2 linked regions of the Oryctolagus cuniculus genome follow. The protein of the gene in region 1 interacts with the protein of each later gene in a pairwise test. Links are inferred from orthologs where the notes say so. Each region holds a gene or a part of one and is shown on either strand. Other genes may lie near its edges. The genes, in order: RPP30 and RPP14.

What was found.
Region 2: the proteins of RPP30 (region 1) and RPP14 interact in binary tests that used the Homo sapiens proteins (3 or more experiments, as listed by UniProt). The link is inferred for Oryctolagus cuniculus from reciprocal best matches to the Homo sapiens genes RPP30 and RPP14.

The regions. Positions count from the first base shown.
Region 1 is NC_091446.1:39,534,588-39,539,029, forward strand, and holds the start of RPP30 (ribonuclease P protein subunit p30), read right to left. Parts: upstream 2,869-4,442; 5' UTR 2,031-2,868; coding exon 1,880-2,030; intron 597-1,879; coding exon 541-596; intron 128-540; coding exon 71-127; intron 1-70. UniProt on the Homo sapiens protein: Component of ribonuclease P, a ribonucleoprotein complex that generates mature tRNA molecules by cleaving their 5'-ends. Also a component of the MRP ribonuclease complex, which cleaves pre-rRNA sequences.
Region 2 is NC_091441.1:91,676,580-91,681,084, forward strand, and holds the start of RPP14 (ribonuclease P protein subunit p14), read right to left. Parts: upstream 2,911-4,505; 5' UTR 2,736-2,910; exon of another isoform or gene 2,302-2,735; intron 1-2,301. UniProt on the Homo sapiens protein: Component of ribonuclease P, a ribonucleoprotein complex that generates mature tRNA molecules by cleaving their 5'-ends.

The sequences.
Region 1 (4,442 bases):
GCCAGAGAACGGCACACAGACTGGGTATGCCTGAACTCACTATTACACTTCCTAAAGAAAAAACACCAACCTGCACAATCGGCAATGTTGTGAAGAGTTCAGAAACAGCTATTGGCTTTTCAATTTCCTACAAGAAAAGATAAGTGGTTACCCAAGACTGTACATGTTAACAACACAAGACATCATGGAATACTTACAAGGAGTTTTTCTTTGGGAAAAAATAATCAAACAAACAAACAAACAGATGGTAAAGAAAAAGAGCCAGAGAACAGAGAAGCAGCTGAGAAATCTATGCACAGGAGGGAAAAAAACTGATTTTTTTAGACTGAAATAATCTATAAGATACAATTGTCGGCCTAAAGAAAAAATTTATGTTGTAGAGGGAAATTGGTTAATGAGTCCATGACAATAAAATAAAGAAGAGTCAATCTTGTGATTATAGTTCAAGTCAATACCAGTGCACTTTTGAAACACATAAGAAATATGTTCACATGAACACATGACAATTCCAACATATTAACTTCAGAAATATAATTTTACCTGTTTCTTTTCCTTAAAGTCAACAACATGATTGATGGCAACAACTGAATAGCCGACTGGAAAGAAAATGGAATATTCTTGTTATGAAACGAGGCAATCTCTCCTTGTACCCACAGACCCATGCTGACTCTAGACCTCAAGACCAGAAGGCAGGTTAGCACCGTGGTTATGGCTGCAAACTCCAGTGTGAGACCGTCTACTAACTCCTACGCCCGTCAAGGGAATTAGACAGCTCCTGGCCTATGGACAGCTACTCTGAGTTACTATCAGCAAGGCCTTTAGCTGCGCTTTTCCTGTCCACCCATCAGACTCTTTCACGTCCCTTTGTCCATTCTCATCCTGCCGACCTTCCTGCTCTCCACTGCCACCTTTTTCTCACTTGGCTCTCTGCCTGCTTCCTGCAGAGACCCCTCACCCAGGCAGTGAGGATTCCCTCGCACCACTGCCCACCCCAACACACGAGGAACTCTTTGGGAGCAGGGGCTCGCTTTATGAGTATGCGTGGATTTCAAGTTTTTTGCGCCTCAATACATTTTTTTATTCCACTTTCCATGAAGTATCCTCATACCATTCTCATCAGAGAGCAAGCTCCGTTCTGGACGTTTGGGCTACCTACCTGACTCCCACCTAGAGGAGGCAACGCTTACTACACCCTGGAAAGTTCACCTCAGAGGAACCATCAAAGATACATGTGCTAATTGGCCGGGCTCGTCCTATCTACCCTCCCTGCCGCCTGAGGAGGAATGCCTTGGGAGGCAATGCTAACAATGGCTGCGCGGAAAAGACGGTCCTGGCCCTACGATACTTCGTAAGGGGCCACGAAGAAATGGCACCATTCACCTTGGCAAGGAGTGGTTGTTTCTAGCACCAGTCATCAGCGCTCACAGGAGCTGAGAACGGTCCCCGGAGGAACAGATCCAACCGCACGCACCTCTACCCTTTAACCTCGCCAGTCCCACACTCGAAGAAAACTGAAGCCATGACGAACCTCAGTCATTGCACAGGTCTCGTCTCTTAGGGCTTCCCTTCCATTGAAAAGTTGAGTGGCGTCCCGCCCTTCGGGTCACGCCGGCCCCCGCCCACCATGTCCTCCGCCCCTACCCTCTAAAGAACACTGCCCCAGCTCCCCCTCTCCCACCTTCTCCCTCTTCTCTGAGCCTCGACAGCACTCCCTGTCCGGACCCTCGTTTCCCGCCTTTGTTCAGCCACTGTGAAGGGTCAGGAAGGGCTGAGCGTAAAAGACTCTACACTTGGAGCCCGGCCTCCCTGCCTTCTGCCATCCATCAGCCGCGAGGCAAATCTTCAGGAACATCCTAGAAACTCCAGAGGGGCAACTCACGGTGAGCAGCGGTCTCCACCAGCCCGCGGAGAGACTTCAGGTCCGAACCCGCTCGCAGGTCCAAGTCCGCAAACACCGCCATGCTGCAGTCCCACGAAACCCCACACGCACACTCCTCTGCGCAGCCGCCGAGCCCGCCCCCCTGGGGCATGCTGGGAGTTGTAGTTTACGTGTGCCGTGGACTGTAGTTTCCAGCTTGCGGATTGACCATTTATTTTTAGGGATCCGCAGGGATTTGTCTTCCCTCCAAGTATCACCAGTGTCTTGAAATCAAGTCTCACCGCAATGCTTGGTGTTTTTCCGAATGAGGCAGCTTGGTTTTCCCTGTAGGGGGTCGAAGCTCTTGACTCCCATAAAACGATGTAGAAAGTGAATCTTTGGACCAGACGCTTCTGCTAAGCGTTGGAAGCGTCTCGGAGTTTTGAACGGTCGAAGCGCGCTGTTCTCTGTTGTCTGATCTTCAGCCACAAGAGGGCAGGGCTCGCTCCAGGAGGAGCGGTCTGCACTCACGCGGGCTTAGCCGAAGGCGATTTGGAGTAGGAAAGTGCAAACTGGAAATGTTTTGCAATTTTCTATGTGAAAAGTGTACGAGATAGTGTGTAGCCCGCGCATCGGAGGTTTCCACTCCTTTGCACTTGGTTCCATGACTTTGTACACTGCTGGATCCGTTCGCCGACAGCACAGAGTCGTGGGACTGCCGTGCGACTTACATCCGTGCGTGTGAAACTGTCCGTGACACCCGGCAGGTCCTCGCTGTGCCCCACCCCGCTTCCTCATGCAATCCCAGTGAGCGCCTCAGGGACTAAGCAACTCACCAGCAGGGAAGCTCCCCGAACTCGGCTGCAGGAGAGTCACCTGACCAGGAGCGCGGATATGCGGACAATGCCAAAGCGCTCCAACGTTTCTAAAGGCTTTCAGTCTCTGTATTTGTTGATCACAAACTGTACACAGAGAAGTCTCTGGTCTTAGGCCCACGCCTCATGTAGTACTTGTTTACTTACTGGTCTCCTTGAGTTCCTTATTGGTCTCCCAAGGGAATTTTCAGGACTCTGTTCCTTGTAGAAGCCTGCATTTCCCCTCTTGGTTACCTTTGGCCTCTTTCAATACTCGGTAATTCCTAAGAACAGAAGACGATATTATTCCTGCAAATGGAATGAGGTCACACAAAACTAAGCCTTGCTTTTATCAGAAAATCTCGCATTAATTTTGCAGGACTATACTGGCATCTTTTTCCTCTGCACCTGTGCTTAGGGGAAAAAGCAAGAGAAAGGATTATGCTCAGGGATGGTCAATCTTTTGTTTTTAAACATACACTTAACACTCAGACTTTTTTTTTTAAAGGATGTATTTATTTATTTGAAAGGAAGAATGGGAAAATGGAGAGGGAGAGGAAAGGGAGAGGGAGAGAGATAGGGAGAAACATCTTCCATTTGCTGCTTTACTCCCCAGATGGCCACAACAACCCAGGGCTGGGCCAGGCTAAAGCCAGGAGCATGGAACTGGATCCTTGAGTGGGTGGCAGGTGCCCAGGTACTTGGCATCCTCTTTTGCTCTTTTTTATCCCCAAGTGCATTAGCAGTAAGCTGGATTAGAAACGGAACAGCCAGGACTTGAACCAGTGCTCTGATATGGGATGCTGGCACTGCAAGTAGCAATTTAATCCACTGAGCCACAATGCTGGACCCAGGACAGCCAGGTTTCTAAATCACTGTGGAGGTATCTTATTTAGTTTTCAAAGAAGGTGTGTAAATACTATTAAAAATCCTCTTTTTAAATTGGAGAAATCTAAGGCTTAGGCAACAATGGTAGAACTGCATGTGAATCAAAGTATTTGGTTAAGTTCTTGCCTAGTGTGCTACCTCCTAAGCAAACCAAACAAAGGGGAGAGTTGTGGAGGAAGGCGAAAGGGGAGAATAAGAGGGAATTGAAGAAGGGAAGGCAGAGCAACAGGGGAGAAAAGGAGAGAGGAAAGGGAACAGGGAGGGAAGGGAAGGCAGGAGATGCAAGAAGAGAGGAAGGGGTGGGAAGAGTGGAAAGACAAGAGGGAACACGGGAGGTGAGCAGGGATTAGAGGTGAGAAGTTGCTCTAGAGGTGTGACTTAGGTAGCAAGGATCTCACCAACCAACAGCCTCACAGACACACCCAGCATAACTGAACAAATACCTGAGCACCGCATGGCCTCGTCCGGTGCACACATCAGATTAATCATCACAGTGATGCTGCCTGGAACATTAAGTGAACAAAATTTCCCAGGCAACAAAAACATTTTACCACTGGCAAGCTCACAAGGCATTTTTATTAGAGGGGCCAGTTCCTAAACAGCATTTACAAATGTAATTCCTATAAACGGTATTGCTCAGTATGTTGCAAATACGGCTTAAAACTTGCAAGACAAGTTACAAGTTACACACACACAAAAACCCACCTGTTATTTCTGGCATTTTCCATTGCAGCAGTTAAAAGAATAAAGATCTACAAGCTATTTGTGTTGTTGAGAATTTTGACATGGCTAAAAATCTTTCGGAAACGATGCTCCACAAAGCCACATTAGAAAGTGGCTTA
Region 2 (4,505 bases), on another chromosome or scaffold:
CTCCCCTCTTCTCCATCACTCTGCCTCCAAATAAATAACCTTTAAAAATTAAAATGCTATTTTTCACACTTTTAATAAGAATATGACTTATTTTAAAGTGACTTCTTAGGACAGCAACTTATCTAATTCTGGTCAAATGCAGGTCACCCCACAGATACAAGGAAGCTGCTATATTGTTCAATATGCCAGACCACTGCCCTCACTTCCACCTCAGTAACAAGCCAGCTCCCATTTCTCCTTACTAAGCACCCAGTGTGCACTACGCACTGCACATGCCTTAGCTTCTGCGCCTTCAAAGCGATTTTATGAGGCAGACACTATTACCACCCTCATGGCTAGCGCCTGGCCCAGGCTCTACCTACTCTGCCATGGCAAGACTGCCCTGGAATGGTGCCTCTGGATCCAGAGGAAAAAAATGAAAACATAAAGGAGCCAAACCTGAGACCTGCGGGCCCCTTTCTGGTTTACTCTGAGTCAGCCCAGAGCACGAACAAGCAGCTGGCTGCCCCCCTTCCAGGTGAACCTGCTCTCGGTCCAGGGTCAGGTCTGGGCAGGACCACCTGGCAGCTCCGTGAGAGACTGAGGAATTCCTGGAATGGGCACTCAGAGCCATTGCTGAGGTCTGGGCCTTCCGAGAACTCAGAGCACGCTCGAGGCCCGCAGAGTGCTGCCCTCCAGTTCCTCTTCCCCCGGCCTCCCCCTCGAGCCCTTCTGCCGCCCTCTCGGGAATGCTCACGTTATAGGACGTCTTGACACTGCTTGTTTGCTTAGTATCTGGGCTCCCCGCTGCCGAGACCCAGAAACTGAGGCCCAAGCACAGAGAAGAACTAAGCCAAGGTCACAGAGATCCAGACGAGCATTTTCAAAACCTCTCAGGTTCAGGCCCATTTCCAGACGAAGAGCCCAGAGACAAGCACAAGCCGGACGGCAGGAGCTCCATCCACACATCCATTCAACAGACCTCAGCATTTTCTGTGTCTGGCTTGGAGGACACAGAGCTCAGAGAACGGCGGCAGCGGGGGACCCTATGTTCAACTGCGCCTCTGGCTTCAGGACAGCACAGTGACCGTCCACCTGCCCCCAGAGCCCCGCCTAACCAGAAGCGCAAAAACAGCAAAAATCGCATCTACTTCTTTCAGTGCCTGGCACATGACAGGTGCTTTCTCAAGTATTTCCAAGTGCTTCGAAGGAGTTGCTGACCCTGGGCATTTGGGAGATGGATACCGATGGTGGCTGCCCAACAGTCAGAATGCACTTAATGCCACCTAACTGCACACAACAATGGATCAGGCCAGCGCCGCGGCTCACTAGGCTAATCCTCCGCCTTGCGGCGCCGGCACACCGGGTTCTAGTCCCGGTCGGGGCGCCGGATTCTGTCCCGGTTGCCCCTCTTCCAGGCCAGCTCTCTGCTGTGGCCCGGGAGTGCAGTGGAGGATGGCCCAGGTGCTTGGGCCCTGCACCCCATGGGAGACCAGGAAAAGCACCTGGCTCCTGGCTTTGGATCAGCGCGGTGCGCCGGCCGCAGCGCGCCAGCCATGGTGGCCATTGGAGGGTGAACCAATGGCAAAGGAAGACCTTTCTCTCTGTCTCTCTCTCTCACTGTCCACTCTGCCTGTCAAAAAATAAAAATAAATAAAAAAAAAACAATGGATCAAACGATGTTTTACCTTACACATATATTACCAAAAAAAAAAGAAACAAACAAACAAAACAAAACACCTCTCCAAACTCATGGAACACATGAGCTCGCCAAAAACCGGACTCCTCAGTGACACCAGCGCCCTCTGCAGGCTGTTCTGAAAGTAAAGATGAGCCTGGCACGGCCCCCAGGCCCGCCACCAAACGGAAGCACGCCTGGAGTCACGGTCCACTTCCCCTCTGAAGCCAGCCTTCTCAGGGGCGGCAGGGAAGCCTAGAAACTGCTCTGTCGGTACCAAGGGTCTCCGATTCCGCCCCTGTGCCCCTCCCCCGCAGCCACAGAATCTACCAGACCCCACTCTCCGGATCTGTCTAGAGCGAGGCCAGACTCCGGGTGCGCCTGCCGGGAGGCCCTTCCCGCACCCCGCACCGCTGCTCCCGCCACGGCCCGCACTCGTCCCTTCCAGCACACGGGCCGCGCACGCACCAGGCTCTCCCGCCAGTTACGCACCGCCCTTCCTCCCGCCGCCTCCTTCTAGGCCTCCCCGACTCCCCTCCACGTGGCCCGGTGCCCATCCTAACACCGCGACGACCCCCGGCCCCGCCTCGGGCCCTGTTCGCCCCCCACCCCCCACCCCGGGCGTCTGCCAGCTAGTAACAGACCCGCAATTCACGTTCTCTCTCCCCCTCCTCCTCTCCTTGCCCCGGCAGGGTGTCCACGGCTCCGTCCGGCTCACTGCCCTTCTCCAGGGACCGACAATAGGGCCCCGCATACGGCAGGCGGTCTCCACACTTTCACTCAATTATTTCAACAAATCAACCCCCAGCGACTTAGGGACCTGCGTTTTCCATCGTTTCCAAGTGGCGACCGCCGCTGATGCAGCACACTGTCCCCTGGGCCCGCTTAGTCCTCCCGGCCGCCCGGCGCGGCCGAGACCGACACCGGGGAGGACGATCGGCTGGAGCCCCCCAGCACCTCCTCCGGCCTGGCTCCTCCCTCCCGGTCGCTCTACCCCGGCGCACGCGCCCGGGGACACCCGCGCGGCCGACTGAGCGCACGTCCGGAACACAACAGCCGCCCCAGGGCTTCCGCCTACCTGCTCTCGGTTGGACGAGCAAGACTCCTCCTCTGACTCCGGGTTCGCTCCGAATATCCGCCAAGGTCTGGAGCCCCTAAGGGACTGCCAGCGCCTGGGCCCGGCAAACTCCCGGTAAGTTTTCGTTTGGCTTGTTCCTGTCCCGCCCCCGGAAGCGTGCCGTCCTGGCGGATGTGACGTCACCGCGCGGCGTCCGCCCCAGGACCCATGGGTGAATCCTCCTCGGGATGTGAGCCCTGCGGAGCTCAGCGCCCTCTGGTGTCCACTCGGGAGAAACCTGGGGGCGCCCCGGGTGCTCGGAGTGCGGGTCGTGAGGTGTGTGTATGCAGCCCCGCAGAGTGCTTCATGGCATTCATTTATTCATGCATTCGGTTTTTCAGCCAGTAGATGTCTAGCATCTCCGCTGCTTAACTTCTGCTGTACCCAGCACCTCCCAAAGACGGACAGCACCTTCCCTCAGTGTCCCCTGTGGTTGCCAGCACATAGGAGGTGCTCTGAGTGGACACGAAAAGACCCACCTGGTCCTGTTTGCAAACGTAAGCCAAGCTTCATCCATACGTTTGTTCACTAACACCGCGCTGAGTGCCTGTTGTGCACTCAGCACTATTCTTGTCTGTGGTTTTTTTTTATTTTTTTATTTTTTATTTTTTGACAGGCAGAGTGGACAGTGAGAGAGAGAGACAGAGAGAAAGGTCTTCCTTTGCCGTTGGTTTACCCTCCAATGGCCGCCGCGGCCAGCGCGCTGATCCGAAGGCAGGAGCCAGGAGCCAGGTGCTTTTCCTGGTCTCCCATGGGGTGCAGGGCCCAGGCACCTGGGCCATCCTCCACTGCACTCCCGGGCCACAGCAGAGAGCTGGCCTGGAAGAGGGGCAACCGGGACAGAATCCGGCGCCCCGACCGGGACTGGAACCCGGTGTGCCGGCGCCGCTAGGCGGAGGATTAGCCTAGTGAGCCGCGGCGCCGGCCTTTTTATTTTTTATTTTTATTTTTTTTCAGATTTATGATTTGGAAAGGCAGAGTGAAAGAGAGATCTTCCACTCCTTGGTTCTCGCCCCGAATTGCCACAACAGCCACTAGGCGGACACCAAAAGCCCAGAACTCCGTCTGGGTCTCCCACACCGGTGACAGCAGCCCAAGGACCCAGGCCATCATCTGCTGAGTTCTCAGATGCATTAGCAGGGAGCTGGATCAGAAGCAGAGCAGCCAGGAGTCAGAGCAGTGCTCTGACGTGGGATGCCAGCGTCCGTTGCTGCCCCACAGTGCCAGCCCTAGGTGCTGGGAATTCTGGGTGCTGGGAATTCGGTGGACTTATTTAATAATAACAAAAACAATAATAACAACGGTGAGTATTTCTCAAGTGCTTAATGTGCGCCAGGCACTATGCAAAAAATTCTACACAGGTCACCTTGTGGAACCACCTCACAGTCCTGAGGTAGCTATTATAACCATGCAGGAGTGAAAACTGAAGCACAGATAGGCTAAGCGATTTGCCCAAGACGACGCAGTGAGAAGTGGTGGAACGGGCTGTCAGGTTCTAGCCGGCGCTCTCCCCGCTGCACTGAGGATTGGGTGGGAGGGAAGCTGCAGCATAAGCCCCCTGAGGACAGGGCCTTGTCTGCGTTGGCTCAGCGCTGCCAGTGCACCCACTCAGCATGCATTCACAGAATGCATTCGTTCATAAACGAGAGATGCTGATCCTGCTTTGGTTGGGAGTGTGGGGCGGCCAGTGTTGCCTTGCACAGCCAAGCCTGAGCCTGGGTCAGTGAGGCC